4 linked regions of the Lepisosteus oculatus genome follow. The protein of the gene in region 2 interacts with the protein of the main gene of each other region in a pairwise test. Links are inferred from orthologs where the notes say so. Each region holds a gene or a part of one and is shown on either strand. Other genes may lie near its edges. The genes, in order: kinesin-1 heavy chain, zbtb8a, zbtb48 and kif9.

The links.
Region 1: the proteins of zbtb8a (region 2) and kinesin-1 heavy chain interact in binary tests that used the Homo sapiens proteins (3 or more experiments, as listed by UniProt). The two-hybrid records come from large-scale screens. The link is inferred for Lepisosteus oculatus from reciprocal best matches to the Homo sapiens genes ZBTB8A and KIF5B.
Region 3: the proteins of zbtb8a (region 2) and zbtb48 interact in binary tests that used the Homo sapiens proteins (3 or more experiments, as listed by UniProt). The two-hybrid records come from large-scale screens. The link is inferred for Lepisosteus oculatus from reciprocal best matches to the Homo sapiens genes ZBTB8A and ZBTB48.
Region 4: the proteins of zbtb8a (region 2) and kif9 interact in binary tests that used the Homo sapiens proteins (3 or more experiments, as listed by UniProt). The two-hybrid records come from large-scale screens. The link is inferred for Lepisosteus oculatus from reciprocal best matches to the Homo sapiens genes ZBTB8A and KIF9.

Annotation. Positions count from the first base shown.
Region 1 is NC_090701.1:39,349,655-39,357,596, reverse strand, and holds the start of kinesin-1 heavy chain, read right to left. Parts: upstream 3,012-7,942; 5' UTR 2,773-3,011; coding exon 2,647-2,772; intron 1-2,646. UniProt on the Homo sapiens protein: Microtubule-dependent motor required for normal distribution of mitochondria and lysosomes. Can induce formation of neurite-like membrane protrusions in non-neuronal cells in a ZFYVE27-dependent manner.
Region 2 is NC_090706.1:2,398,157-2,405,651, forward strand, and holds the start of zbtb8a (zinc finger and BTB domain-containing protein 8A), read right to left. Parts: upstream 3,003-7,495; 5' UTR 2,630-3,002; coding exon 2,565-2,629; intron 738-2,564; coding exon 1-737. Other genes in the region: zbtb8b (zinc finger and BTB domain-containing protein 8B), read right to left, coding at 5,728-6,078, 6,334-6,512, 7,162-7,495. UniProt on the Homo sapiens protein: May be involved in transcriptional regulation.
Region 3 is NC_090720.1:9,105,388-9,112,699, reverse strand, and holds the start of zbtb48 (telomere zinc finger-associated protein), read right to left. Parts: upstream 3,016-7,312; 5' UTR 2,868-3,015; intron 1,963-2,867; 5' UTR 1,948-1,962; coding exon 1,201-1,947; intron 257-1,200; coding exon 1-256. UniProt on the Homo sapiens protein: Plays a critical role in transcriptional regulation and chromatin remodeling. Acts as a regulator of telomere length. Directly binds the telomeric double-stranded 5'-TTAGGG-3' repeat.
Region 4 is NC_090701.1:26,375,290-26,382,147, forward strand, and holds the start of kif9 (kinesin-like protein KIF9), read left to right. Parts: upstream 1-3,852; 5' UTR 3,853-3,960; intron 3,961-4,401; 5' UTR 4,402-4,470; intron 4,471-4,774; 5' UTR 4,775-4,780; coding exon 4,781-4,876; intron 4,877-5,561; coding exon 5,562-5,727; intron 5,728-6,389; coding exon 6,390-6,496; intron 6,497-6,858. Other genes in the region: klhl18 (kelch-like protein 18), read right to left, coding at 2,644-2,778. UniProt on the Homo sapiens protein: Essential for normal male fertility and for progressive motility of spermatozoa.

The sequences.
Region 1 (7,942 bases), on a different chromosome or scaffold from region 2:
GGAATGGCACTGCATCTTAAGTAAAACACTTAACATTTATAACTTTGTTGATACAGAATATTGGACTATAGTCCAAACAGTGTTATATGCTAAAACGTTACAATGGTTAGAGTGCAACAGTTCATACATTCCTTTAGTTTAGACAACGGTATTGACTGTGCTGTTTGTGAAGGGCCTTGATCTTTGTATGTGCTTCCCTAAGCTTCTCAACAACTTGACATTCGAACCACAGACTGGACGATGAAGGCGTACCCCATAAGCAAAAATGTTGATTATACATATAATGTAGCCATAGAAACCTGGAATACTGTATACGAGGCAGCATTGCTAACCAAAATACCACCATGCACTCCACTGCTTAAGCAAGTATACTTCAAGCAGATGCACAATTTTGGGATCAGCTACTACTACTAAGTGAATGACAGGCCCAGTGGACTTTCCTTCCTGTTTTATATGACCCTTCTAACATTCTTAATCCCCCCATACAGTAAAACGGATAGCTTTAAAAGCTGAAGTGTATTTTCTTCCACAATAATCAACCTTGTTATAGAACAGAATTTTAGCCTGGAGAAGGGAAAACGTTCTTGCTCTTTTCAACCCAAATTCCAAATTTTTCAGAGAAATAAGATGCATATCCAGTAGCCAGCAAATAATACACAGACCATATTATGAGCATGTATGCATTCTCAATTAACAAGATCCTTCGGGGTAGCAAGCTGGCTGCTTTTCTACAAAGGTCAGGATGGTTCCCCTGACTTAAAACGACTGTCTAGCTCTATACTGTATGTGCCTACTTGTAGTTCTTCATAAGCTTTATTTTCTTCCAAACAAATATTGACTCTTTGAGCAAGAGCCTCTTTACAAAAGGTCACAAGACAGATCAAATACATTTCCTAGTGCATATTCATGATACTGAGTTACACGTCCTGACAAAAGACTCATTAGGCAGTGTGTACTACAGAAACCACAATTCTATCCCTGTGAAGTCCCACAGAGTGATAAAGCTAAATCAGAGAGGACAATGAGGAATGTGGAAAGAGCTCTATTGTATTTTACAAATGGATATTATGAATAACTTCAGCAGTTACATTTGACCAATCTGTACTGCCCATGTCCTATGTGTGCCTTTGCAGAATGTTTTTCAAAAAGACAAATTGCAAGCAGGCACGAATATCACTCCGTGACATCTGAGGAACTGGTATTTTGATGAATGTTGCCTCAAAAGGCTGGACTTGTTATCAGTGATCGTCAGCACCATGTAATTGGGAAGACAAAAAAATCACCCCATGTGAATTCCGCTGATGCCGGGATACTGAAAAATCTTTGAGCAGGGCAGCTATTTCAGGACACGCTTCGCAGGGGCCAAGTTTTTCTGCACACAAAGCAGCAAAAAAAAAAAACTTTCGATTTCAAGATCGGCGCCTGCACTTCAAGAATGACTGTGCTTCAAATCTGTAGCGGTCGTTGGCGAATTCGTGCTCTCAGCTGCGGTAGCTCAGTGGGGCGCCATTGTCTTTCACGGGCCCCCTCACCCACCGCACAACAAACAGGAGCCCCTCGGCCGGCGCACGCCAGCCTGACACCTGTCAAGTGACAGCGCGACCGCACTCTCTCCAGTCTTACGGGTTCAAAGACTCCCTCCCCAGTACTTTTTCCGAGTTCACTTGGGAGATGTGGTGCGATGAGTGCAAAGGGCAACGTGGAATTTAGGCGTTAGCCAAGCAGCAGCTGATGCGTTCACTGGTGACTTCATTCATTCGTGCATCCACGGAGACGAACAGTCTGGAAAACATTTTCTAACCCCCCCGAGCACTGTATTATTTGGCTGTGGGGGAGAATTTTATGCCCTAATAAAAGGGCCCCCCGACCGAATTGGCCTAATCCATCGGGCACACCTATTGTGTCCAAGACCCAGACGTAGGATATCCACGCAGGCAATAACAACTGAGCGCCGCTTGTCAAATCCCTGCTCTCGCTCCCCCAAAAGATACCGCTTTGTTTTGAGACGCCAGAGAGGGGCCGACGCGAGTGAAGGCCTCCGGGTCCAGCAGCTTCAACCAACTGAAACCCCCGCATTGCCGAAACAGAACACTTTGACGCCGAATACACCAATAGAGACGATGCAAAAGCAGTTCACGCTTTTAGGTTTGGGAAATGCCTAGTGCCGGCCACGTAGTTACAGCTGTGGACAACACTTCTGGCTTTGTTGTGTGCGCCGTGGAAAAGGGCACGATTAGGCCAGTCTTATTGTCTGACCCAGCCCTTCCAGCGATCTGCCACCGGCCTCAAAACACAACGAAGCACGATTCCCTTTAGGAGATCGGGCCGCTACATCGTTTATTTTCAAATAACTGGCGTCTAGCGCACTTCAACAGTGGCCAAGGAAAAAAAATATCAGAATTCAAAAGACGATTAAACGAAGCGTTAAGGGTCTCCGTGCATAAAACAATTCAAAAGTAAGTATGCATTTTAATGAAGCCGCAGTTATTAGCTAAAGTTTCAGTCGGCTGCTGCTCATGTGTCAATCTGTGGGTGGACAGCACAGACACTGCCCTTGGCTTTTAACCCTCATTGTATTAAAACATCAGCCTCTTCCGATGCCACCCTGATCGCAGAAAAGAAAATTCTTTTCTGCTCCCAACTTACCCCAATAACAACGTTGTCCTCCCCTTGAAATTTGGGGATGTATTTGTCCCCTCTCATCACTTCGGAATTGTTCAGCGGCCTGAATCGGCACATCACTTTTATGGTGCACTCCGCCGGGTCCGCCATCTTCCAATCTTTCTGGGATGAAACTGACAATAATAACAATCAGATCCTGCTGCCGGGACGGCCCAAGGGTAGAAAACCGGAGGCCGCACCCCTAAACCCTTCACCGAGTGCCGAAGAAACGATGCCCCCAGTCGGTTTCTCGGTAATAAATGCCCCCTTTTCTTAGGCGGATAGGAATCACTTCCTCTCCAATATGGCAGCCATGACACCGGCAGATCTCTCTCTCTCTCCTTCTGTCTGCTGCTCTCGGGCGGCTGGTGACGTCACCTCTGCAGATAACTCCGATATTATCAACACCCTCCCCAACCGGAGACGGATAGACCGGCCCAGCCCAGGGCTTACAGCTAGATTGGCGGTTACGGATTTGAGGGCAGCGCCGCCAAGTCATACCTGTGTTGCCAGAGAACCGAATTTTCCTACCGGACGTACATAAGCAAATGAAACGCAAACATATTGATTTCTTCTTTTGCATTATAAATATTTTTTTTCAACTCGCGCATTTATCGTGTATACATATTGACAGGGGGTATTCTTTTTTTGCATACTTCAGACAGCTTCATAAAAAGTGCAAGAATGATGCAGGTGCTTTTTTTTGCACCACAAGTACGAGATGCCCCACCTACGTCCGACTTCGTGTGTCCCCATTCGCAGCCTACGGGTTCACAGAGGGAGGTTCCGGGGTTGAACAGCTGGTCAGACAGAAGCAGAGACAATGATGTCACTTGAGCATATGGTTAGGATAATTGAACCGCAGCCGTTGATTCCTAAAATGTAAAACCAAGGACAGTGATGGCACGTGCTTTTTTAAGCGCCAGTCCCCCGCCCTCTCCTTTTCTGTCTTGGCACCAATTTTTAATCCCAGTGCCTGTGCGCTCAACACCAACAGGCGAGTTCCTGCTTCAAGTTGTTGCCGCAACTCACGCACATGTAGTGCGTCTGGCTGCTTACTGAAGGCAATTCATTAAGCGCTCGGTGTCGTTAATTTACTATTGTGCATCGTTGTCACTGGAATCCGCTATGATACAACCGCTATTCGTCTAAATTCCTAGCAAGAGACTGCTACAATCAGTAAACTTGTGAGTTTTGCAAACCTCACAAAGCTCAATGGAGACACAACAGTAGTTCCGTAAGGCAAAAGAAATACAAGACGATTTAGATGCTTTTCAGGTTGGCACAAATACCCCCAAAATGCAACAGATTAAGTATAATATTCAGGAAAGTACAGTATGTTTCAAATACCTTTTGTTGGTACTGAACTGGAACTAGCAATCTGTGAGAAATATCTTTGAGTTTGGTTTATCTCTTCTCTTTCTTAGGTAGTGTGATGGAAGAAAATAGGTTTACAAAGGGTATGTGGTTAAAATGTAGAGTTTTACAATTATAAAGTGCATTACCTGATAATTTGCTAGAAAGTACCCCTAACACTCTTCTGTTGGCAGCATATCATTCTCTACAGTTGCCTATACAATTACATATTCAATATAAGAGCTTGTTACTGACTTTAAAGGTTTAAATAATCTGGCTTCTTCATACATTTCTCAGCTCCTCCATGTTTACACTCCCTCTCGTAGGCTCTATTCAGTTGAGGCTGGTCTTTTGCTCACTATACCCAGCACTGAATTTCTTAGTTTCTTCGGTGGCTGCTTCAGTGTTATTGAAGTTCTTCAAATCCAAACCTAAAACTCAAGTGTTTACTAGGGCCTATGTCCAATTGACCTATCTGTATGATCTTGTATGTTATTGTTTGTTTTTATTTCTTTCTTTTATTTTTTATTGGGATTATGGGATTCTTGCGCACATAAAACTAGGATAACTAAACATTGTTGGACCACATGTCCATTTGTAATATTTTTAATGTCCTTCTGCTCTTAACTGGCATTGAAGGTTTTCTGATGATAATCTTTGCTTGTGTTTCTCTAGTTGGACCTCTAGAAACCAAAAGGCACATACAGTAGCACGAAGTGTGCTAGGTGTTCTAAGAAAATAAGATGTTAGCTGCTGAAACATCTGAAATGTTTTTGAATAAGCATAAGTTAAAAATACGTAATGTGTCTGAAAGACGTAAAATGAAATAAAACAAGTGCTTCACATGATAAGATAAATAGTTCTTTTAACAGATTGAATCATCAGTAAATATATCCTAAATGTAAGTATGACACACCAATGAAAAAGAAATAGATTATATGGAAATATGAAAATGAAATTGACCAAGATTTGGATTTGATTTATAAGAGATCTCCTGTTTGAATTCATTCATATTTACAACATTAAAGCTCAGATGTCATCACTCAATATGATCCTCATGTTATATAAATATAATTATTTTTACTAAACATTTAGTTCCTTGTGATTCTTTAATAAGTGTCAAAAAATATTCCGGAGAGGGAAAGATCCTGTTTCCAATTGTTAAAAATACCTCTTGTCCTATGTATGTACTCCTAAAGTTGGGTTCTCTTGTGAGTAGTTGTATATCAATGACAATAAAGTTAAATAGGAGCAGATGACTGAATTATAAATTAAAGGCTTTAGAATATTTTGAAATGAAGCACATAGTGAACTTCTTGGATTTTTTCCCCATTAAAATATGTTTAGCAGTTCTCTCTTCGAGACAGTATATGGCCAGTTGGTGCAGAGAAGCATCTTCACTGGACTGCATAAAAATATCCCAGCCATGTGCTCACAGAACAGATGCCAAGATGCAGGAATGCTAATGCAAATCACAAGAGTTGGTATTCAGGATTCAAATCCCTGTCCCCAGGGAAACAACGATCTATTATCTCTGCCAAAGATGAAGTTTGAGCAGTTTCAGCTCACTACACCTTTTACTGTACGCACAGAAATACACAACGCATGACTGAGCCTCCACACTGCTGCTGGCCTTTTTCAGCAAGAAGCTACCATCCAACAAAAGATAACATCCAACATTAGATAACAACAAATAGTTTATATTGTAACGCATACGGCCTCCATTGCTTGTGAGAGCCGGCTTACCAGCGCAGTGACGTCACCACCCTTCCCTGTGTATAGCAGGGACTGCAGCCGCTGGGCTGAAGGGAGATCTCCCTTTGGCTCAAGAGGCTGGGTCCCTGTTGAGTGACACTGGAGGCTTGGGTTCAAGTCCCTGATGGTGGGGGGCTGACCTGATGTGGCAGCAGTGAGGGCGCCCATGTGAACCCCGAAGTGTTACAATACTCAAAGCTTTATCAGCTACGTGACATTAATTACACTTCAGATTGTCACATTTGATTTTTTAAGATTAAGGTATGTAGAAGGATGTGGATATAGAGAAGAATGAAAATATTAGATCATTTAAAATGGCAAAATGCAAAATCCAGCAGGCCCATCTCTTTCAAGGTTTTTAATGGGATACAAAGGATTTTGTTACAGAGGATTACATACTACTGTATTTTAATGTAATGAGCAAAAAAAAATTGAATATAAAGCATTTCTATACAATTTAGAAATTATATCACTTCATACATGTTATAACAGGTAAAGATCGTTCCTCAGTGATTTATGTAGTTGGAAAGATATAAACAACCTCACAAGATTCTGTCCAGTCCAGCACAATGTACACGCTGTCCAGTCCAGCACAGAGCACGAATGGTCCAGTCCAGCACACCGCACTCACACTGTCCAGTCCAACACGGAGCACACACACAGTCCAGTCCAGCACAGCACACATACACAGTTCTGTGCAACACAGGGCACACACACAGTCCAGTCCAGCACAGCACACATACACAGTTCTGTGCAACACAGGGGACACACACAGTCCAATCCAGCACAAGGCACACACACAGTCCAGTCCAGCACAGCACACACACACAGTCCAGTCCAGCAAAGGGCACACACACTGTCCAGTCCAACACAGAGCACACACACAGTCCAGTCCAGCACAGGGCACACACACTGTCCAGTCCAACACAGGGCACACACACAGTCCAGTCCAGCACAGGACTGAAATCACTGCTATATGAATGTATGGGAGTTGCACAAAAAAGGAGTTTCATACTTTTTTCATACTGATGGCATTCAGATGTAATCTCAGTGTCAGTCAGTGTCATAGCCAGCTATCTCAGTGTTTGCTTATTTTTAGAGCAGTGATTTTGCTGTGATGTTTTCAGAAGATGGGTAGGACGGGCAGGGTATCCCTCCAGCGATGTTTTCATTCACACTATTTGAACAGGAGGATGACAGAGGACAGAGGACAGAGGACAGCCCTACATGGACCGAGGATGGTTCAAACAAAAACGAAATAATGATATGGTGAAATAAAACAGGTTTCATGTGTACGCTGAACTTCTTCTGTCTTGTAACGGATATCAACAGTAAACATGAGCCAGGGAAACTAAAGTGCATTTAAAATGAGAATTCAGAGTTGCAGGGATCCAGAGCTTATTTCGACAGGTAATAGGCGCAAGGCACACACATTTATTTGCAAACTCATCTAAGGCCAATTTTTCCTGAAGCCAATTAATCTACATGTTTGTCCTTGGACTGTGGAAACTGGAGCACCCAGAGGAAACCCACATGAACATGGGAAAAAACACTTAGCTCTTAGCTACTGTTCATAGAATATAAAGTGATTATGGAAAATGAGACAGCCTTTCACTCTGAACGTTGCTATTGCCTGAAAATCATGGCATGACAGCATGACATGATTTAAAAAATGGTTCTTCGATTTAAGAGACAACTTAGCAACAGTTTAATGTTTTTATTTCCTTAAAAATAGTAGTAGACGGTGATGTTTTCTAGAGTGAAGTGCATTTAAATTGAGAAAGGGAGTCACTTCTTTATGTAGAGGGTTGTGGGGCTCAGCCAAGTAGCTGGAGGTGATGCCATGATTTCTTTTAAGGAACGGATGGATGAGGTCTTAGGACCAATCAGCTGCTGTCTACAAAACAAGGTCCTTGGGCTGATTGGCCTCCTGTCATTTGCAAATGTAATGAAAAATTAAATACTATATGTTCTCATGAGAGGCTGGTCACCCTGGACAAGACATTCCTTTGGATTATTTGAAAATAGTAATAATTAATAAGAAGAATAATTGCTTACACTTATATAGCACTTTTCTAGACAATCCTCTCAAAGTGCTTTACAGGTAATGGGGATTGCCCTCCACTACCACGTGTATGATGTGACAGCAGCCATACTGCACCAGTACGCT
Region 2 (7,495 bases):
CGCCCCCCTCTGGCCCCAAACTGAACTGGTACCCTCCAGGTGAGGCGTGTAGCTCGGGGTCAGCGATCTGAAGGGCTCGGCGGCCCATTCGCCGAGAAGGCTGCTCTGACGGGGATGAGCCGCGCTTGGCGGGCTCTGGCTCAGACTTGGTCTCCTTGTGGTAGTCCACTTCGGGGCTGTTGTAAATGTGCCAGGAGGCAGGCTGAGAGCTGCTGGGGCTTTTCAGCATTGCCCCCGCATTGCTGGAGGAGTAATCTTGCGGCTCTCTGACACCCCCAGACCTTGAAGCGTTCTCAGACAGGCTCAGGTAGTGGTCATCCTCCTCCTTGGCGCTGATGTCCAGGGAGGACTTGATGAAGCTCTTGCAGTAGCCGATGACGTCGGTCATCTGCAGGTAGCTGGCTGCTGACATGACCTCGATGACGTTGGTGCTAGTGAGGTCAAGCTTCCCCGAGTACATGAAGTCGAGGATGACGGTGAAAGTGTCCTGGCTGAAGACTTCGAAGGAGGCGCTGACAGGCTGCCCGCAGTCCTGGGCGCCCTGGGACAACAGCATGCGGAAGTAGCCACTGCTGGCGAAGAGCACATTGCGGTGCGCCTTGAAAACCCGCCCCTCCACCAGCACGCTGCAGTCACAGAAGAGTTCCTGCCTGCGCTGCTCATCCAGCTGCTGCAGCAGACGGCTCTGATGACTGGAGGAAATGTCAGCGCTGAGCGCCGAGACGCGGGAGGGGTGCCTAGAGAAGAGAGAGAGCATCCCAGGGTGAGGAGACATCGACAAGAGTGCGGAACAGGAGAGTGAATTAGGTAGGAGAGACAGAGCTGGGGACAGGTCAAGTGGGTTGGAGAATAAGACAGGATAAATTCATGTGTATCTCTGACATCAGCATGCGCCTGCCTCAAAAGTTAACATGGTAACAACATGTCTTGTTATGAGGCATGCAAGAACCCTTGGCACCCCATTTAAAAGCACATTCCTGGGTTTTCTGTCTTTTTTTGTCCATCCTTGGCCCTTGATGGGTATCAAAGACTAGAAAAAGAAAGAATTCAAGACACATGTCTGACAAATATCCGATTTACTACTACTGTTTTTCCTGGGGGTGCACAGGGTCTCTCACCAACGAGGCTGGATGAAGGAAAGCCATCCTTAGAATTGTGAGGGCCCTGTCGCCCCTTGAAGTTTTTGGCCAAGATCACAGTAAAATACTCTCAATGACGTCGTGATGCTGCTGATAGACGAAAAACCCACATTTACCGTCCGCAACACCACGTTACAGTGAGTGGATTCTTTTTTCCAGCTGGTTTAACCAGCAGGAAACCTTTCCATTACAGACATTTCTACATCGCCCACGTACTGCATGGAAGGACGTCGAATGGATAAAATGCCTGTAGATTAAAGGACGGTGAGATACAGTCTCCGGGTGCCCTGAACAGCTCGGTCGTTTTTTTTTTTTTAATTTGAAAATGTTCAATAAGGAAGAAAGAGGGGCGGGGGGTCTCGCCGCACGGTTAATCGCGTCCTCCCAGTCTCCTGTCCGCACGCCGATTGGCCGGGCTGCCCGCCGCTCACAGGCGAGCTCTCTCGAAGTGGATTGAAAAGCTACACCCGGTTGACGGCGTCGGGCGCCGGGGGAGACCGACAGAGGCACTGCGCTGCGGACACAGCCCTGCCGTACAGCGCACGGAGCGACACGAAAGCCTGCTCTCATTATCGCGCCATAGCTGAAAAAAGGCATCTGCAGGATTTTAGTTTTTTTTTTTAAATAAAAAGCGCATAAAATACCCTTTATTTCCCAGGTGCCCTTTTCTTAAGAACACAGCCTACAGCTATAAACCCGGTCCCCCCCCTTTCCTATTTTAAGTTCTTTAAAACAACAAAAAACGCATTTGATATATTTGGGTTCTGATTTCAGAACGTGAGGGGCACGTTTGTTTTGTTTAAAGAAAACTAAACGGCACAGCAGTAGCACCCTGTGGCTTGGCAGAGGCGCCCGAAGGCTCCTGCCAGACCGAAACACTGAACACGAAGGGAAGCGATAACTATTGATCGTGAAGTGCGTTCAGCCTCCACTCTGCATATACCTCAGTGTGTCGTGAAACTGTGTTAAAATCACATTTTATCCGCCAGATATTTTGCCTCGCACGCAGAGCTCGCTGTTACCACTGCGAGATCTCCGCTCTCAGCCCTTGGGGTTTACAGAAAGGACGCCCACCGAAGAACTAACAATGAAATAACCAAGACCGGGGATTTCGCGAAAAGAACGCGAAAAAATACGTATATATATATATGTTGGCTGAAATGGCGAGGAGGATACACGTCCGTGGACGCTGCTCTCCCGAGTCCTCCGTCTCGACACCCGTTTCACCCAGCCAGCCGAAGACCCAGCGCAGCTGCAGCCCAGCACCATGGTCAGCGGAGACGCGAGCTGGTTCTCTGCGGTGCGAGGCGCTGCCTTCACGGGCTGCAATTATCCGCAGGACCCGCTGACGCCCTACGGTCCCTGCGCCCTGCCTCCCACGCTCCTCACTTCCCGATACCCGCTGCTTTCTCCGGCGATACTCACGGTTGCCCCGGCTCGCCGGGTGTCTGTGAAGATCCTTTCGTCCGCATTTCGGAAAGAATGTCCATTTGTGTGTGTGTGTGTTTGTTGCAGGAGAAAATAAAAGAATGGAAAAAAAGTGAGTCTCTCCTCTTCGTCTCCGGCGCAGGGCGATACGGTCGCTGCTCAGCCCTAAAGACGAAAACCCGGTTGCCGGACAAAAGGGAGGCCGTGCTGACGTGGGTGTGGAAGCGCAGCGCCCGAGGGCCGGAGAGCAGCTTAAAGCCCCAGCGCGCACGTTAACCCCTCAGTCCTCCCTGCACCGGCAGGAAGCCCTCACCCCCCCAGGCTCATTGTTATCTAACCCGCACACCTCGAGTAAGAGATGTAGGTGAAGAAACGCTGAAGTTGTGCGTTTGGTCTATGGTAGCAGCCCCAAAGCTAAGGCTTTCACACTGCGTTTAGACGCTGTTCAGGGTTTCTCTCTTTTCTGGATTTTTGTGTGCTTAATAAATACATATAATGATCTTAAAGGGAGAGTATGAGTGAACGACGCCACATAACGTGTCGTTGCAGGCTATCCAACACCTGTAGTTACAAAACCAACCAATGGTCATTTTTCTAAAAAATATGACAAGATGAATCGCTCTTCGAAACAAAACTTCAGCACGGGGGCAGGGGTTTTAAAAGTCGCCCGCCACGTGACACATTTTTTTTTTAAAGTCACTTATCGCATAGTCCCGCGTTTTAAAGAAATAACCTTTGCTATATTGTTAAAATGTCAAATCGCATTCCCCGGTAAATGTAAGCACACCAATGCGGCACTCCGAGAAGCTGTTCACGTTTAAAATTGTCTTCTGAGCAGTTAAGAGTGGTAGTTTGATTTGATCTCTCATACAATTTAATTTATGCTAGTGTAAAATCGTCTAATACTGTAGATATGAAATACTTCCACTTTACCAAGAAGGGTGCAATGACTTAGGTACGCTGTACGTGTAACCCCTAAATCACAGAAGCGGCGTACTGTGTGGCTATAGGGTGTCCACTTCAGTGGTGTTAAAAAAAGTGATTTCGAGTTCAAAAAACCGACATGACTGATTTGCCTGCGATTGTAGCCTAGCTTTTAGTCCAATTTACAGAGGCGGGGCTGCGAGACGTTGGGCAGAAGTTGGACAAAACGCTGAGAACACACTTTCGAAGCGTTTTTGAAGCCTTTGTCCAAAAATGCAGAGTGATGCGCCACGGGGGGTGCGAAGTTCGAGGTAATTATTATCTGACGCCCTTATCCAAAGCGATGTACTCACACAGTACACCCGGTAACACAAAACACAAGCGGGCGTTCTCCCGGGACACTCTGAGGAAGAAGCACGGGTGTCTAAACGCCTGATGCTGCGGTCAGGAGTCCTCGGTTCCGATGTAAATCCGTCTCCAATGTTCAGTCTTGACTGCCAGTAGTTTAATCTTAATAACAGTTCAAAAAAGAGCGTCCAACACCATAAGCGCTGATTTTAATATGGAAAAGCAAATTAGTCTCACAGCCTCGGTAACACTTTTAAACGTGAATGCAAGGTTAACCCTTACAGTTCAGCATATTCTATCCAGTTGGGGCAGAAGTGTGGCGTTAATCATTACACTAAGCATTGTGAACATAAGAATAACTCACAGCTCACTGGAATAGATTTTATTTCACAAACACAGCACTGAACCTCACTTCCAACGCCGCTGGAAGTATTTACAAAGAACGGTAATACAAAATATATAGCTTGCAAAACGAGACAATATAAATAAGTACCATACAAAATATTTGTTGTTTACTTAAGGTTAATGTAACACCTTCAATAATGTAAATGTTTTACATTGTATAGACTAAAGGCAAGCATTCTCCACAGTTAAGGCTACAATCTTATTGTAACTATATTTCGACTATCACTTTTACTCTGTCTTGACAATGTTCATAAGTAAACCAACACAAAAGATAGCTTTGGCATTTGTCCACTGTAATTTTAATATTTCACAAAACACGTTTTTGTTTCCACTTTATTTTTCTCTACCGGTGCAGACGCTTTCGCGACGTCATCGCGTGGTTACACAAGTTAACTTCGGCACACAGAATCCCACAAAATCCTCTGAGCAGGTTAAGAGAAAGTTCAGTACCCACTGCACACCCGCAGCGTACAGTAAGGGCATGGTCCACAAGTCGGCCCTACCCAGCACACGGCAGCAGGAAGGGCCGGGCTTCACAGAGAGTTAAAGGGGACAGAACTCGCCGAGCTGCTTGAAGTTGCAGAGGAGCGACGGAAACAGAGCTGGACAGGACCTGCCCGCCTTCTCCCAAACACAGCAGAGCCATCCCCGCCCTGCATTATTTCACCGTTAATCAGCAGTAGAACAGTAATGCTGGCTGTATTAAAGCTCTGCAGCGGAGCGGACAGGACGGGACCTCACCTTAGACCACCCTGCTGTCCACTTTCACTCAACACCCAAACAGGTCATTCATGGAAGCTGTCTTGTGATGTGGGGCAACACGGCGGCCCAGTGGTCCTGGGTTCAATACTGGACCAGGGATGCTGTGGAGTGGATGGGGTTTGTATGGTCTCCCAATGTCTGTGTGGGTTCCCTCCCACAGTAGGGAAGTTCACTGGCATCTGAGAAAATTGGCCCTGGTGTGTGTGTGTGTGTGTGTGTCAGTGTGCCCTTCGATGGGCTGGCATCCCGCCCAGGGTGTGTCCTTGCGCCCTCTGCGTGCTGGAACAGGCTCCAGCTCCCTCTCCTGGGTGGACGTTTCGTGATGTTGGAGGAGCAAAACCTCTGCTGGAGCGCAGATTCCAGTCAGAGGCACGAGGCCTCGACTGCAACCCTGAAGTTATCATCTTCTCCAAGCTCATCCTAGCAGCTACAAGAAACGGGAGTGAGAGAGGGAAGCTCAGGCCTTTGTTTCACACAGCTGCTCTCGTTCTGGGGGCCAAGAGCGCCACTTCAGTGCCCAGTCACCCCCGCGCGCTAGCAGCCCTGATTCCTCACCAAGGCGTGTGGAGCCGTGGATCCAATCCTTACAGCGGGAGCAATCTGGGATCGCAACGCGCTGCCGCACGAGCACCCCGACCTTCTCTCTGTCTCGCCACAGCCCACTCCCCACGGGGACAGGCCCGCAGCGAGAGCGAGGCGGAGGGAGCCGGTCCTCCCCTCGCTACATCAGCCCCTCGCTCTCCGACAGCTGCCTGTGGAGCTCGTGCTTGTCGTCCAGGTCCTCCCCGCCCCCGGGCTCCCCCTCCTCGGCCTCCTCCATGTAGATGGGCCAGTCGCCGTCGCCGTCGCTGCGCTCGGGGCCCTCCGATTGGCTGCTGAGGTTGATGGGGGCGGCGTCCTCGTGGGTGGTGGTGACGCAGGTGCAGCCGTCGCAGAGCCCGAAGCGCTTCAGGCCGTGGGAGATCACGCCCGTGAAAGTGCGCCGGCAGCCCTTGCACACGATGGGCCAGTTTGAGCGGTGCACCTGCAGACAGGTAAACCAATCACATCCTACCCTGTCGCGTAGCGCCACCTAGTAGTAAAGAAACATCAACTGCAACCTTCTGAAAGCAAACCTTGTTTCAGTTTTCTACAATATCAAACTGAGCTTCCACATTATTTATTTTAACCATGATGATGAGAATATCACCTTTGACATAACAAACAGGTAAAATTAAATATTTTCTCATTCACAAGTGTTGATCCCCAATCACTTGCCCTCCGACAGACACACTAGCGGCGCCAGGAGCTCGGGCTCCGGACCTGGGGGAGAGGTGTGAGGACTCACACTGAGCGCGTGGCTGCGCAGGTGCTCCTGGCGTGTGAAGCGCTTGCCGCAGGTCTCGCAGGGGTACGGCCTCTCTCCCGTGTGGCAGCGGATGTGCCTCTTCAGGATACCCTTCTGCTTGGCGGTGTAGGGGCAGAACGGGCACTTGTGCAGCTTCACAGGAACCACGAGGCCGTATCCTGCAAAACCCACAGGAGCCCGGCCCACTTCAACAACATGACCCCAGTCCTTGAAGAGGTGGCCTGCCAAACGAGAGTGCTTCCGATTCCCAGATTGCACACGCAGCCCCAAGCTAGGTTCTAAAGATAACCCCCATCCCGTCTCTGAAACCAGACAGAACTAGACAACGAGATGGCATGCTCTCCCCCGCTGCAGCACAGTGGAGTAAGGTAGGGTTACTGCGGCAGCCGGCCACGCCTCTACTTACCTGTCAGTCAGTTCCGGTTGCTGTGGTTACACAATCAGACAGGAAGCCTGTTTCACCTGTGGGCAGTTACAACCACCCCCGTCTCAGGTGGAGCATGCTACCTGATTGTGTAAACACAGCAACCAGTACCGACCGACAGGTGAGTAGAGGTGTGGCTGGTGGCCACAGTAACGTTAGCTTACTCCACAGTGCTCCAGTGGGGGACAGCCTGACACCCGAGTCCCGAGCTTGCAATTTCAGAATTTAGCAGAACTTTGAACTTCCTAGCAGCACAACATGTCTGGCAGTAATAAGAGACGGTTGCGTGTCATGCTAGACAGAGTTGATAGAAACGGTCCAGTTAGATCAAATCTTGGGACCAAAATCCCTGTCGCTTCATCCTAACAGCAGGGGGCTCTTACCTGTGTCGTCTCCGTACCAGTCACTGTGGATCTCCATGATGGAAGGCGTGCCCAGGCCCAGGCTTTCCTCTGGGGCCCCTCGGCCAACACCCACACCCCCTCCCAGGCTCTGGGCAAAGTGCTGCACCAGCTCCTCCCGCCTGGGGTTGGACCCCCCTCTCAGCAGCACCTCCAGAAACTGCTTCATGTGGTAGTTGTCGTAGGGCAGAGGGGAGGACTCGCTGCCGGCTGGCTGAGAGGAGGGGTGGGGCCGGTCATCATCGGTGGGAGGGGCGTGGAACAAAGGCGTGTACTTCCCTCCCGTCGGGCCCTCTCCTTCCTCGTCGGGGTCAAA
Region 3 (7,312 bases), on a different chromosome or scaffold from region 2:
AGGTCTTGTGGCAGGTGGGGCACTGGACGGAGCCCCTCTTGGCGTCGGCCCCCGCCCCCTCGCCGTTCTCCTTGTTGACCGCCCCCCCTCGCCCGCGGCCCCTGCGCTTGGCCCGGGGCCCCGCTGCGCCGGCAGTGGGGGTGGCGGTGGTAGGGAGGTAGTCTTCGTCGGTGTCCTCCTGGCCCCCGCCCTCGCCCTCCTCCTCCTCCTCCTCTTCCTCGTCTTCCTCGCGGGCGGGCTCCGGCGGCTTCCCCTCCTGCAGCCGCGAGAGGAAACTCGGTCAAGCACCCCGCCACGAGACCGGCTGGGGAAAGAGCCGCTTCTCGGCTGTTCATCTGCATGAACCGGGGGAAGAAAAGACAACGTAGCCACAATCTATGAATTGGCTACATTACTCTGCTCTCCTCCCCACTGAGAGCTGGTGTGTGGGGAGCGTTCTGGTGCACTATGGCTGCCGTCGCATCATCCAGGTGGGGCTGCACACTGGTGGTGGTGGAGGGGATCCCCATTACCTCTAAAGCGCTTTGAGTGGAGTGTCCAGAAAAGAGCTATAGAAGTGTAAGCAATTATTATTAATTATTATTAACTAAAAGCTCAGGTTCGTGTTCGAGCGAGCGCGGGAATTATTGGACTTCCGGCAGGGAGCTGCGTCCGGTTCATTCCACGCCGGAAAGAGCAGAAAGGAGACACAACTTTTCGGCTGTGGAGCCTAATTCAGAAACGTCGCGTCTCCTTTCTTTTCAGCACGGAACCTCTTGGATTAACAGAACAAAAACATACTTCAGTTGTAGGACTTAATTTTTTTACAGACAATATCGAACTTCAACACCCCACCCTTTTCAATTCAAGCACTCCCTGCCCCTGGGCTCGGGCCCGGCCTGATTAGAGATCACTTTATTGGCCCTATACACTTTATTGCATTAGGAATGTGTCTTTTCGCAGACCCCAGCTTGCTCTCCCTGAGACACACAGACAGGGAGAGAAGCTGGGGGTCAGAGCGCAGGGTCGGCCATTTATACGGCGCCCCTGGAGCAGCTGGGGTTGAGGGCCTCGCTCAGGGGCCCAACGGAGTAGGATTCCTCTGATACGAACCGGCAACCTTCCAGCCACAGAGCGAGCACACCACCCAGGCCTGATGCCCCCCTCCTGTACACCCCCTGGTGGCTACGCGGCAAACCCCCCTGGTTTCGACCCTGGTACCTCTGTGCCCTTCGCGGAGGGGCTGCTGCTCCGCTCGCCTGTGTCCGGCCCGCGCCGCCCCTCTCCCTGCGCCGCCAGCGGCTCCGCTCGGCGGGGGGCCGGCGGGGGGAGGGGAGGGGCAGGAGGAGGGGGGGGGCTGTCCCTCAGCAGGCGGCTGGGGCCCTTGACCCTGCGGCCCGAGCGGGTCGTGGTGGTTGCGGGGGCCGGCGGCCGCGGGGCGCTGTTGGCGGCCTTGCATTTGGGTCTGGGCGCCGGCCGGGGCCTGGGCTGCATCCCCCGCGTCTCGGCCTGGCCCGGGCCCCCTTGTGCCTCGGGGTCCCCCCTGGGAGACTCCTGGCTGTCGCCGTCCCTGGCCAGCGACTTCTCTAGCGGGCTGGCCGGGCGCTGGTCACCCTGGCTGAACTCCTGGCAAAGGTCTAGGGCGTGGGGCACTGACAGGCTGAGAGCAGCTTGCCGCACTTTGTCCAAGGTGCCAGCGTTGAGCTTCATCTCCCCGGTGTAGATGAAGTCCAGGAGCAGCCCCAGGCCCTCGGAGGGGCACTCCTCTGGCAGGGAGACCTCCACCAAGGGGGTGGCAGAGTAGGAGTCACGGAAGAGCTGGCTGAAGCAGGCCAGCACGCTGCGGTGGGCCCGGAACACCTCTCCATCCACCGCGCTCAGCGTGGCGTCGCAGAAGCTACCCAGCGCCCTCTGCTGGTTCAGGGAGGACAACACCAGCTGGGCATGTCTGTGTTCCAGCGCTGCCATCTTCCGCCGCAGAGCCTTTTAAGCACAGAGCAGACACGGACGGCCTGTCAACAGCTTCAAAGCCCGTGGAATTGCCTAATCTTACCTGCGTAACTAACGGTATACATGTGATTGGCGTAAATGATGGAATGACAGCCTAGCCTTACACATGGGTGCATGAACAACGCCTTCTTGTTAAATGTATTCAGCTGGGCATGGATGAGGAGACTTCTCTCGTGTCTAAGGCTCCAGAAACACGATAGGAATTTGTTATCGTTAGGCCATGTTAAGGTCGCAGTACTGGAACAGGTTTTCGAGGGGGAAATATTGTGTGACAATAAAAACTGTAAAACGCACTCGCTTAGGTCACCTCTGGTGCCTGGGTTTCTGACCCAGTACGTGTTCTAGGTCTTTTTGAATCACTGTATACCGTTCATGAACCTGTGGTGAAGAGATTTCAACATCGTCAACAAACCCTTTTAATTAGTTTAATTCGATTTGTTTAAAAACATCGAAACGCCCCTGTCCATTATGAGACGCATGGGGCTGGGAAAGTTTGCGTTTCTTTTTACTGTACAGCTACAGGGGGTACTGCATTTGACAAGTAAGGGACAGGGCGGATCAAAGTACTGTTCTCCAAAACGTTAGACAAAGTACATTAAAGTAACACATTGTACCCCTACTGCACCGGGGTAGGCGTCAGCAGCATTTTAATATTTCTGACGAGCGGAGCAAGACGTTGGTGATTTATCTCCTCTGAAAGTCCCAATGCTGTAATACGCAAAACCATGACAGCATGACTCACTTTTTCGGTTTCCTTCTTAGCAGAATGAGTACCAACTCACCCTTAGCTCAACGTTTACGACGGAAGGCATGTTTTTAAAGACGGTCCCTAACGTGCCATTGGTACGACAGAAACCGCCGACGAAAGTGCTTCTTACCTTATTTGAGGATGGAGGGGAAGTACTTTGTTTCAGGCTGAGAGAATGGGATCAGGCTCATGCTATTTCGAATGGTACTTTTAGGGGAAAAAACAAATGGGCTCGAAATACTTTTTTTCTACCTTACAGGAGGCCATGTTGGAGAAGAGACCGGATATGACGTACTAGCGTGGCTAAAACTTCACCAGGAAGATTGTCAATTGCAGTGTGGGGCGCAGTTTCTCTTCATGTCTATTTTATACAGAAAACCAGTTTTCAAAACGGAATCTGATATATATGTGAAGGTTTATATGGGTAAGGGTTGTTTTTTTTTAACTGGCCAGCCTTGGGAATTCTCAGAGACTATCTAGAGGGAGCACAGACATAATAATAATTGCTTACACTTATATAGCGCTTTTCTGGACACTCAAAGTGCTTAACAGGTAATGGGGATCCCCTCCACCACCACCAGTGTGTAGCCCCAGCTGGATGATGCGATGGCAGCCATAGTGCACAAGTGCGCTCCCCACACACCTGCTAACATTGGGGAGGAGAACAGAGTGATGAAGCCAGTTCAGAGATGGGGATTATTAGGAGGCCATGATTGGTAGAGGCCAGGGGGAAATTTGGACAGGATGTCGGGGTTACACCCCTAATCTTTTCAAGAAACGCCCTGGGATTTTTAGAGAGTCAGGACCTCAGTTTTACACCCCATCTGAAGGACGGCGTCTTTTTACAGCGTAGTGTCCCCGTCACTATACTGGGGCATTAGGACCCACATAGACCGCAGGGGCAGCGCCCCCTGCTGGCCCCACTAACACACTAGCTTTCCCTCAACTTTAAGAAAAACGTGTCATTACTTCAACTTTAGTGGTGTGTAAAAATCGTCAGATGGCCACTGGACCAGAAGGGAAACGGTGTGCTTTGCTCCTCTGGGCGTGACCTCGGCTTGTAGTTTGCAAACTGGTTTAATGAAAGCAGTCTGGTGTGAGGAAGTGCAGCAGTGACTCAGGTGGAAAAGTGAGGAGCCGCTTCCTCACTAGAACTAAGGGGGAGCTGTGGGAAGGCTGTATTGTGCCACCCCACAGTGTAATTCAGCCAGGGAGATGGGGGTTCACACCATAGAATGACCGAATGGGATGTTATGCTCCAGAAGGAAGGGCGCCACCTACTGGTCCAACAGTAGGTCTGAGGACCTCCACATTAAGCTACAGTGTGGTAAATATGAGCTGTATGAAAAACAGGAGCAGGCTTCACCCAACAAACCGCAATATATTTCTGTAATAGTTCAAACAATGGTGTGTATGTATTTGGAGTTCACTATACTTTAGTGTAATTTTCCAACGGGGCGAAAAACTATTAGGACTGAAGGAGTTTATTTTATCTTACCCACGTGTTACACTGGCAATTGATTGACACAGGTTGTCCTGTGCGCGAATAAGAAAGCCACAATTTTAAAATTATCTCATTAATTCAAATGATCAGATCAATAAAGTACTGTGTTCTCTCAACACTGTCGTTTACATATTGCGAAAACGGAAGCGCTGTACTATATCCTAACCAACAGAGGGCACCAACGCAGAAACGAAGGCCGGAAAAACTTCGGGAAGGTTTGTAGCTGTCCATCATTTTATAGCTTATGTTTTCTCAAGGAGGAAAATGTATTTATATGCTTAATACAACAATTTCGCTGTCCATTTAAATTAAATTAAATTTATTTTCCAGGACTATTTTAATTTTCATGTATGTGAATATGAAAACTGTTCTTAGACGATTGAAGTCTCAAATATGCCTATTCCCGATGCAATGAATTGTGAAAGTGTAACTCCTGGAATGACTTGGTTGGCCAAGGAAGCTTGTTGCTGTGGCGGCTGTTGTTACACATGGAGACGTGCGGCTTTTATTTTGCGGCTGTAGGCTACAAAAATACGACGACTAAAAGCTGTTAAGCGGTGGATAAGCGCGAATAACTCTTTTTGTGGGGTTTACACAGGTACGTTTTACCATACGTATTATTTGTGTGGGTGGAGATGGGCTAAGAGGCAATACAGATGGGAGTGAACGGTAATTCATATTCCAGAGGGGTTTTGTATGCTGATGAACGTCGCTGGAAATAAAGACAAAATCAGACATATAACAATATTATGTTACCAGCGATTATTTAAGCGAGATTATTTGTGATATTCTGTGCAGTGTGAATGGTTCTATTTAGAAATCGCTATGTAGTCGTGGTGGGCATAAGCATAGGTGAGCCAACGCGTACATATTGAATCACATGTTGTACAGCGGCTTTTACAAACAGCAGTGTTTAAGTGTAGACACAGGTTCGGTAGCGTCCTGTTTATTCCTCGTCTAAATCCTCTGAGCCTTTCCGACAAAAGACTTACCATAGCCTCTGCATGAATAATGCGAGATTTTGAAATCGATCATACAGTTATCACGTTCTTCCAGTTTATTTTCCTTCAAGGGAATTTATCTGCTCCAGTGGTCTTCAGTGGCATCAAGAATCCAGAAATTAAATCCAAATGCATAACATGCGCAAGGACCTTTATATTAACCTCAACGAATTATGCAGCTTTTTTAGTTTGTTTTTGATAATTATTGTTTTTTTTTAGCTTCTTGCAAAAACAAAAGACGTTTGAAGTATTAGTGACAGTCAGACCGTAGCATTTAAACACGTATTTAACAGTTAGCTATCACATTCCTTGGGGCATACAATCTTTAAAAACAAAAAAGACCAGATTTCATTGACTTCAGATTAGGAGACAAATGAAAGGAAGCATTTGGACCATTGATTTTGTTTCTATACAGTCTTAATTTTGGTTCTGTACAACCCCGTAATTAGAGTAAGCAATTAAAACGTCCTCTCCAGTTCCCCAGCCACAGCCTGGGACAACATGCAGACACCACACAAACAGGGACAGGAGCTGGAATCAAACAGGAACCCTTGAACTGTCCAGGCGGGTTAACTGACTTCTGGGAAAATTGCACACGCAAAAGGTGTGTGTGTTTGTGTGCGCCCTGGGTTCAGTCCCCGGGGTGCTGTCTGCGTGGAGTTTGTATGTTCTCCCCGTGTTTGAGTGGGTTTCCTCCAGGTGCTCCGGTGTCCTCCCACAGTCCACAGACACGCTAGGCAGGTTTATTGGCTTCAGGGAAAGCTGGCCCTGGTGTGAGCATGAGCATGGCTGGGTGTGCCCTGTGATAGATTGGCACCCCCTCCAGGATGTACCCCGACTTACTTACTTACACTTACACTTATATAGCGCTTTTCTGGACACTCAAAGCGCTTTACAGGTAATGGGGATCCCCTCCACCACCACCAGTGTGCAGCATCTACCTGGATGATGCGACGGCAGCCATAGTGCGCCAGAACGCTCCCCACATACCAGCTCTCAGTGGGGAGGAGAGCAGAGTGATGAAGCCAATTCATAGATTCATTCATAGACTTGCACCCCTTTGCTTGCTGGGGTAGGCTCCAGCTCCCCCAGTGATCCTGTATTGGATAGAGAGGTTAGAGAACGGATGGACGGACACTTCGGTGAGGGGAACAACACTTCTGCCTTCCCGGTACAACATGTTCGGTACAGCTGTTTCGGATGACGTGCCAGTCGCCGTGCCGCCCTGCAGCTGTGCGTTTCCGGGTGGGGGGGCAGTGAAGAACGGACTGTAGGAGCTCCCATCTCTCGCATTGCCGTGCAGGTCAGCTCCAGCAGCACGGGCCCATCCCACGCAGACGTGCTTTTCACGTTCCTGGGAGTTGGCACTTCTCTGTGTGATTTTACAAGCAGCGGGGATCTGGCCTGTAAAATTCAGGAATCCCAGGTCCACTGCCTCACCCTCTTTTACCCTGTGTCTACAGTCTGTGTTGTGGGGAGACCCCCCCCCATCATAACTGAGGGATACTGGAGATTCTAGAGGTTCAGGCCAATATTCTACTTTACCAATAAACACCGATTTGCCAGCGGCAGCAAATGAGACGCATTAAAACTAGCAGCGTAATAATGCTGTTAACACGTAGTATGTAAAATAAACAAAATGCCTTTCACAGGCCTTACAGTTTATGTTCTATCCCCTATGTCTTCTCTTTTTTCTCTTCATGTCACACGGTGGATGCAGTAGAGTTATTGCTGCACATTGCAGGTACCGGATCTGTCCTCTGCAGGCTTATCCGATAATGCGGCTTTCTTGCTTAAAGTCACGGGTTTTCATTCCCTCTCCTCTCCTGCCTCTCTCGCATGTGTGGCACTATTATTTACTTCTCGTTCAGGTGCCCTGATTGAGGCCCTGGAGTATCGCTGAAATGCTGCCCGATTCTGAACGTGAAGGTTTCTCGAGCGTGCAGTAGCAAAGAGCCAGCATGCTGTGCGGGAAGAGAGGTGGGGGTTGGTGCACCGCAGAGCCTCAAAACCGCGAATCGCGAGGGTTTCTTTCATTTAGCGGTTGAATCACTGTGTTTTGAAGCCATT
Region 4 (6,858 bases), on a different chromosome or scaffold from region 2:
GCAGACCGCTTATGTGAATCTTGTATTTCAAACTGCAGCCAAGGACTTTATAAAGATCCTAGATACAGTACCCTCCAAGGACACTGAAACTTGTACTTTTTTTATTCATCGGTGAGCTGGCTTTACAGAGGATGCCATATCTCTCTCAACAGTGTCAGCCACCTGTATACACTGTATGAACTGTGATTCCAGAAGGCATTTCAACCTTGTTTAATCCAGAAAAATTTAAACCAAAAATAAATGGTATAAACGAAACATTCTTGTATTGTAATTCCTTTTATTAGAGGGCTCAGCATGGGCGTAGATGACTTGAATCTCGGGGTCTGTTTTCTTTTTGCATATTCCCACAGCCAGAAAATGCCTTTGTTTTTTTTTAAGTGAGAAAGGTATCAGTGATTTCAGATATTAGGTTGAGGTCCGTTAAGTTCAACAGGCGTAATTTAGGTACCGTATTTTCTCATCTGCCATATCACATACCAGGGTTCTTATCTGATTGACTGGAACTGATATAAGTCCATATAGTTAACATAGGCTGTGCTGGAGTAAAAGACTTGAAGAGAATGGACCTGCCGCAGCTCCGCAATGGAAGGTAGGCCCTGCAAGCAAATAGTTTTTGTTGTTTTTTTTACCATATATTCCAATAAACATACTTAAATGATAATTTAAAATTAACACACAAAGCATGGATAGAAGGAACTTGTGAAATAGAAATCCCTCTCATGATTGTTACTGTATCACTGGCTGCAGAGATTCTAGGAGAAGGGACATTAGGTTGCTGAGTAGTATTAGAAAAGGCTTAAGTGCAGCAGCCTGATGGTCAGTAGTTAGTTGTGAATGTAGACCAAACTTTGTGAGAAAGAGGATTGCTTCTGCCTGGTCTTTAAGAAGCAGGAGCCAAGGCCACTGACATATCCAGTGTCCATTTACAAACATAATAACACAAAAGTGCATTTAGCTTGGATAAGATAGCAAAGGCTCTCTCCAACTTAAAGAGCTCAGGTTAATTGGAGCACTGCGGTTTCAGCACATCGCTGCTCTTGCTGTAGTAATCGGGATAAACAGAGAATGCTAACACAGACGTCAGGCGACGCAAGTCGCTTCTATCTGGACGCCTGGTAACCTGTGAAGCACCCTAAGAGGTAAACATGACATTACAAAACACTTTCACTCACTGCAAGGCCCCTGCAAGGCTATCGCCCGTGCAGCTTCAGTGCTCTTTACAGAGGGTGGATCACAGTACACCTCTAACAACTGTCATGGCGGAGGCTAGGCTCGGTCCTGCAGGCCTGCTAACTAGTGCAAGAAAGAATTGTCAAGTATTACCCACCCCCCCCACAACACTTCACACCATACTGTAGTTTACTGTGTCTCTACAGTGCTCAGCTGCACAAGACTTGCGGGGAGGGAACACACAGGGCCTTGTGCTGCCAGGTGTAGGGTATGATCCCCTCTTCACCACCAGTCACTGACCTGTTGTTCAAGCCCACTAAAGGTGCTTCACGTCTTTTAACAATGATGAACTAAAAATATGGTGCAGAATTTAATGACAGAAATAAAATATTTCCACTGACAAAGACACAGCTATATCAAAATCTGGGGAGATGTTTAAGTCCTACTAATACATTATTTTAAATTGCTGCCTTCAGTGTATTTCAATCCCACAACAAAAATATTTATAAAATTGATGGATAAACCTTAAGAGTTCCTTAATGGTTTTTATTTCCTATCACATGTTTACTGGATTTTATTTTACTTAATATATATTTAGATAATAGGAGTTATAACAGGAGCTACTTGTACAACTACAGTAGGATATTTTTAGACCTATGGGGATTTAACAGAATGCAGGTTCTGCTTTTTAAGATCGGCTGATTTTTGGGCTATCATTAATCTAATGAGTAAATGTCTTAGATACGCTTTTAATAAAATAAAATAACATAACAGTTGCATCTGAACAGTATTTCCTTCGTATCTCTTATCAATGTGCAACATTTGCCTTTACCTTTCTTACAGTTAGCTACCATCTGGCGCACAATGGCCATTTTTGGAGTTTAATACGATTTAAATAGTAATTTTCCATAATTATGAAAATTATGTTTAGAATGAAATAATATTAATGGAAATGGTGAAATATTCTAAATTTACTTTTTTATTACAGTCCCAACCCTAGTAGCGTAGCAAAACCTCAGGTCAATGAATGTTTAGGGCTGTTAGATACCAGCGCTTTTCGTTTCAGAGATATTCGTAATGTATTTAATTTCTCTATTTGTGTTCACAAAGAAACAAATCAATCAGACAGGAAAACAGTAACAATGCAGGACATATTTTCCGCTGTAACAGCTGTTTCCCGGTTGGCTTTAACCACCCCGGTTATATTTACATTTTGGGGATCTCTTCCGGGCTTTCGTCTACAATGACAACCAATTAATTTAGCCTGTGTCCAACCTGGAAAAGGGCATCTTAGTTTGGAACAAGGACGAAGAGCATCGGAGGCCCTTTTAAATCGAAGAATATAGGATAGAAACCCTCATCCACCCCAGCACCTCAACCAAGACAATACTCCCTCTTTAAAGGCAGTGGCAGCGAAAGGCACGGTGCCTCTCGGTGAACCTGCTGAACAACACGCGTCGGGTTGATTTGTACCTTGAGGGTGACGTCGCACAGTTTCCCCTGCCTCCGGATCTCTTCCATCACCGCGTAGCCCCGATTCGGAAGGTCGCTAACAGAGAAATGCATCAAATCATCTAGTTCCTCGAATATTAGATCTTCCATCTTCATTGAGAAAATAAAAACGACAGAAAAAAATCGGAAACGCGGATTGAGCCTGAGTAGCTGCCGTAGGGTTTAATATTACTGCTGTTGCGCGTCAGGGGTTGCGATATCATTGGGCAGTAGAGTTGAGACGGATTAAATGGTGGTTTGATTTGTCCTGGAGAGAATAATCTTAAAATTGGGATTAATTTTAGGGATTACATTGAACACCAGGAACCTAGATGGGCAATAAAACATAGTATATAAAAATCGAGTTTCCACACCAATTTAAAATACATTTAGAATGTTTATATGAAATCATTCAATTGGTTTTGTTATTAACGCTTACCATTCGAGTTGTCAAATTGTAATCAAAAATTTAAAAAGTTACCTTTTTCTGTTCGTCGCACTTCTGTACTTTGTCTTTTTCATTGCTTGAAAGAGTATGTGGTGGGCTTGTACTAATTTTTACACTTTGATAGATAACTCTACTAACAATTTATCTACATAATTTATGTATTTCATTTTTATGTGATTACAATACTATATTGTTTATAGTTATTATTTCATTTATAATAAAATGTTGATTTGGACAAATCAAGGCAATATCCAGTAAAAAATAATAGTATTCATAATCCTCTGTTTTTGGTGGAATGGTTTATTAGCATCCTATCACAAACTACAATAAACCTACAAAATAGAATACACAAGTGTTCTTACAATGAGGGGTACAGAAATCAGGCAAGTGTTAAAATTTACAGTCCTTTTGATAATTCTGTATATAATTCTGTATATAAAGAATATATAACTTCTGTATACATGCAGCACCTAATACACAAATATGGAATATGAAATAGCCGAATATAAATGTTAAAATATGAATAGACCATACTAAAGGCGTCGCTGGTCAGTTTAAAAGACTGATCCTTGTGGAACCTTGTAGACACACACATTACAAATATAATGTGAAATTGTATAATATATATTTATTTTTATATAATTCTCTGATATATGATACAATTATTGTATACATTACTTGCCGTAAAAGGACATGTCAATGATTTTCCGTACGGAAATTAGGTCTTCCGCACGCATCCGGGCACGGTTTCCATGGTGATGATGTAAACATTATGTCTTGGTGAATGAGACTGGAGGATCTGGGGCGTTTAGACACGAGACTATTTCCGAATTAGCTGATTAATAACACAGGTATGTGGGATGCTAGTAATCAAATCGTTTTTTTTTTTATAAGACGAAATGGCTTCTAATAAATTATAAATGTTATTTATCATTTTAACAATCCTGAACTGAAAATAAAATAGTTTCTGTTTCCACAACGCATAAATATTTTCAGCCTGAAATGATCCTGTACTTCTTCCTATAATGCTATTACATTTTATCGTCTGACAACAGACACAATCTGCACGTACTGTACTACAGTGTAATTTATTACACTACGACTGCTATGAAGTGGATTATTTATAATCACAAAGAACAGCCTAATCAAGTAAAATAGCAAAAACATCATTGTTGTGCTCAAACAATGACAGATGAATGCAACTTCAATATCGATTGGAACATTAGCAGCATTAGCTATATACTGTATCAGCTATAATGAATCAATAAAAAGCAAAACATTTGTAATTTCAGGATTACTCAGTCCTTGTATTAGAAACATTGAAGGTGTCCTGACTCACCACGTTGGCTAGTTAATTTGGGGTGAGTGGTAAACTGAGCTTGGCATTTCTGTGTTAGCGCAGTGTTTTATGAACTGAGCTGTGATGTAAAAGAAAAAGCATCTGACACAGTGAAACTCGGAAGCTCTTGTAACTCTTTCAAAAATAGAAATTAAATGATGAAGAACAGCAATAAAAAATTGTTGCACACACCTTTTGCAGATACACATCACTACATCATACATCACTATGGCAACCTCCAATGACCAAATTCGAAGCATGGACTGTGATGCTAATATACTGGATTGAACTCTGTTTTTAACAATGTTCTTCCCCTGATCTCCCAGCTGGACATGAGCTCCAGGGGCAGTGGGGTGACGGTATTTGTCCGCACCAGGCCGACTGCCAACTTTGCCCAGGACCTCATCCAGTATTTACCAGATGGCAAGGTATTCTGCTGTGATACATCATTTCAAGACTCATCACATTCACAATCAACATCATTTACTTGACACCATTAGCAGCAACAGAACAATAACTTTTTCAATAAAAAAGTTATTTTTCCTTTAGAGCTATTGAGAGATTGCATTTCTGTTTCTAACTGAGAATGATTGTTAAAGTCACACTTTTGTACAATACCAATGTATTGGGTACTACATATTAGAAATACAGTAAGCATATTTTTTAATACGTGCAGCCCCTAAAAAAATCTGGGTGAAACAAGTCAAAGGTGATCTCAAAAATTGCTGACTCAGTCTCACCGATGCTAAAGTAGCGGCTACTGACAAGCAAAGATGGAAGGGAATTATATGCGATACCCAGAGACCAGCAGCACTTACAACGACGTATTGGCTTCATGGGTGACCACTGCTATATGTGCGCTAGAGGATGATCAAGCCATGTCAAGTCACAGTAAGCATGGCTTGACACCATCCTCCTTTTAGGTTAGCTGACAGCATGTGGTTTTGTTACTTTAGATTAAACGTTACAGAAGGACTCTCTGGAGCAGTCAATATACAATATAGAGAAACAATATAGCGCCTATGTATCGATTTGTCCTTTGTTCCTTTCTGGTTATTTACCTCTTAACATCCTTTCTACACCTGTCATCTCCCCCCCCCATCCTTATTTCAGACTATTAACATTCACATGAGAAAGACAGGCCAGAAAGGGCTGGTGAATAACCAGCTGTCTGACTGGTCATTCCGTCTTGATGGTGTCCTCCATGACGTGTCCCAAGAGAATGTGTATGACATTGTAGCCAAAAGAGTGGTGTTGGGAGCACTGGACGGTTACAATGGTAAATTGAATTTTCAACATTAGTCTTGGAAGTCTTGATATTACTGGTATTTGATTTGCTATTGTTTTCTATGACTTGCATTGTGTATTTAGCATGCATCTCTATGCTTTTATTATGATGTCACTGTACGTTAATACACTAATACTGTACATGCTTTTACTAGAGTTTACTGTAATGGACTTTAATAAGGAGTTCATAATACCTGTGAGATTTTCTTCTTTAATTACCTAGAGCATCAGGCAATTTAAAAACTGTTCTTCTGGTTGTTTTTCATCAGCTCATAACTTAATGTTCTTCTTTTGGCTGTGAATCAGTGAATATTACCTCTTCTTTATGCTTATTTAAGAATGTATAAACTCTATGAACTTTTATTTACTTTTTGTATGTTAGTTGTTGTCTTCTTTGTGTTAATTGCTTAATTGCTAATTGTTAAATACTTGTTTTAAATAATTTAACCAAGTTAAGCATTACCCAAAAGTATAACTGCAGTTTATTTAAAATTATACATTTAAAACAAAATTTCTAATAATTTGTCTGAGGTATGTTTTCCCCTGGTTCATCACAATACTTTATTTAGTTAATATTCTTCTTCAGAGACTTTCATTCCTTGTCATTTATTGGGTGTGGTTTTTATGCTTCTTCTATTTCTTCTTATTTAACAGGTACAGTGATGTGTTTTGGACAGACAGGTGCTGGAAAGACACACACTATGACTGGAGCCACAGAGAGCTACAAACAGAGAGGAATCATTCCCAGAGCTCTGCAGGAGGTACAAAATACTGTGGTGATTACAGCAGTGGATGAGACGCTGGAATTCTTTGAGATGAAAGGCGCAATATGAAATCAAAAAGTTATTATTAAACTACACATGTGTGAGGTCAGGATTGTTTTCAGGACTTGCAGCATGCACCATCATCTATTCTATTTAATGGCCCAAGAGGTTGAAATTAGTTTTTTATGGTAGTAAACTCCGAATTCTGAAGATTTCAAACAACAAATTGGAATAATTTATCATCTACCATTATAAAGTCAATTTGTACAGTACACCACATTATCTTGTTGAATATTTGTAAATATACTAATGGAGAAAAGAAACGCAACAACTCCCCCTCCACGCTCAGGCCCTCCTGT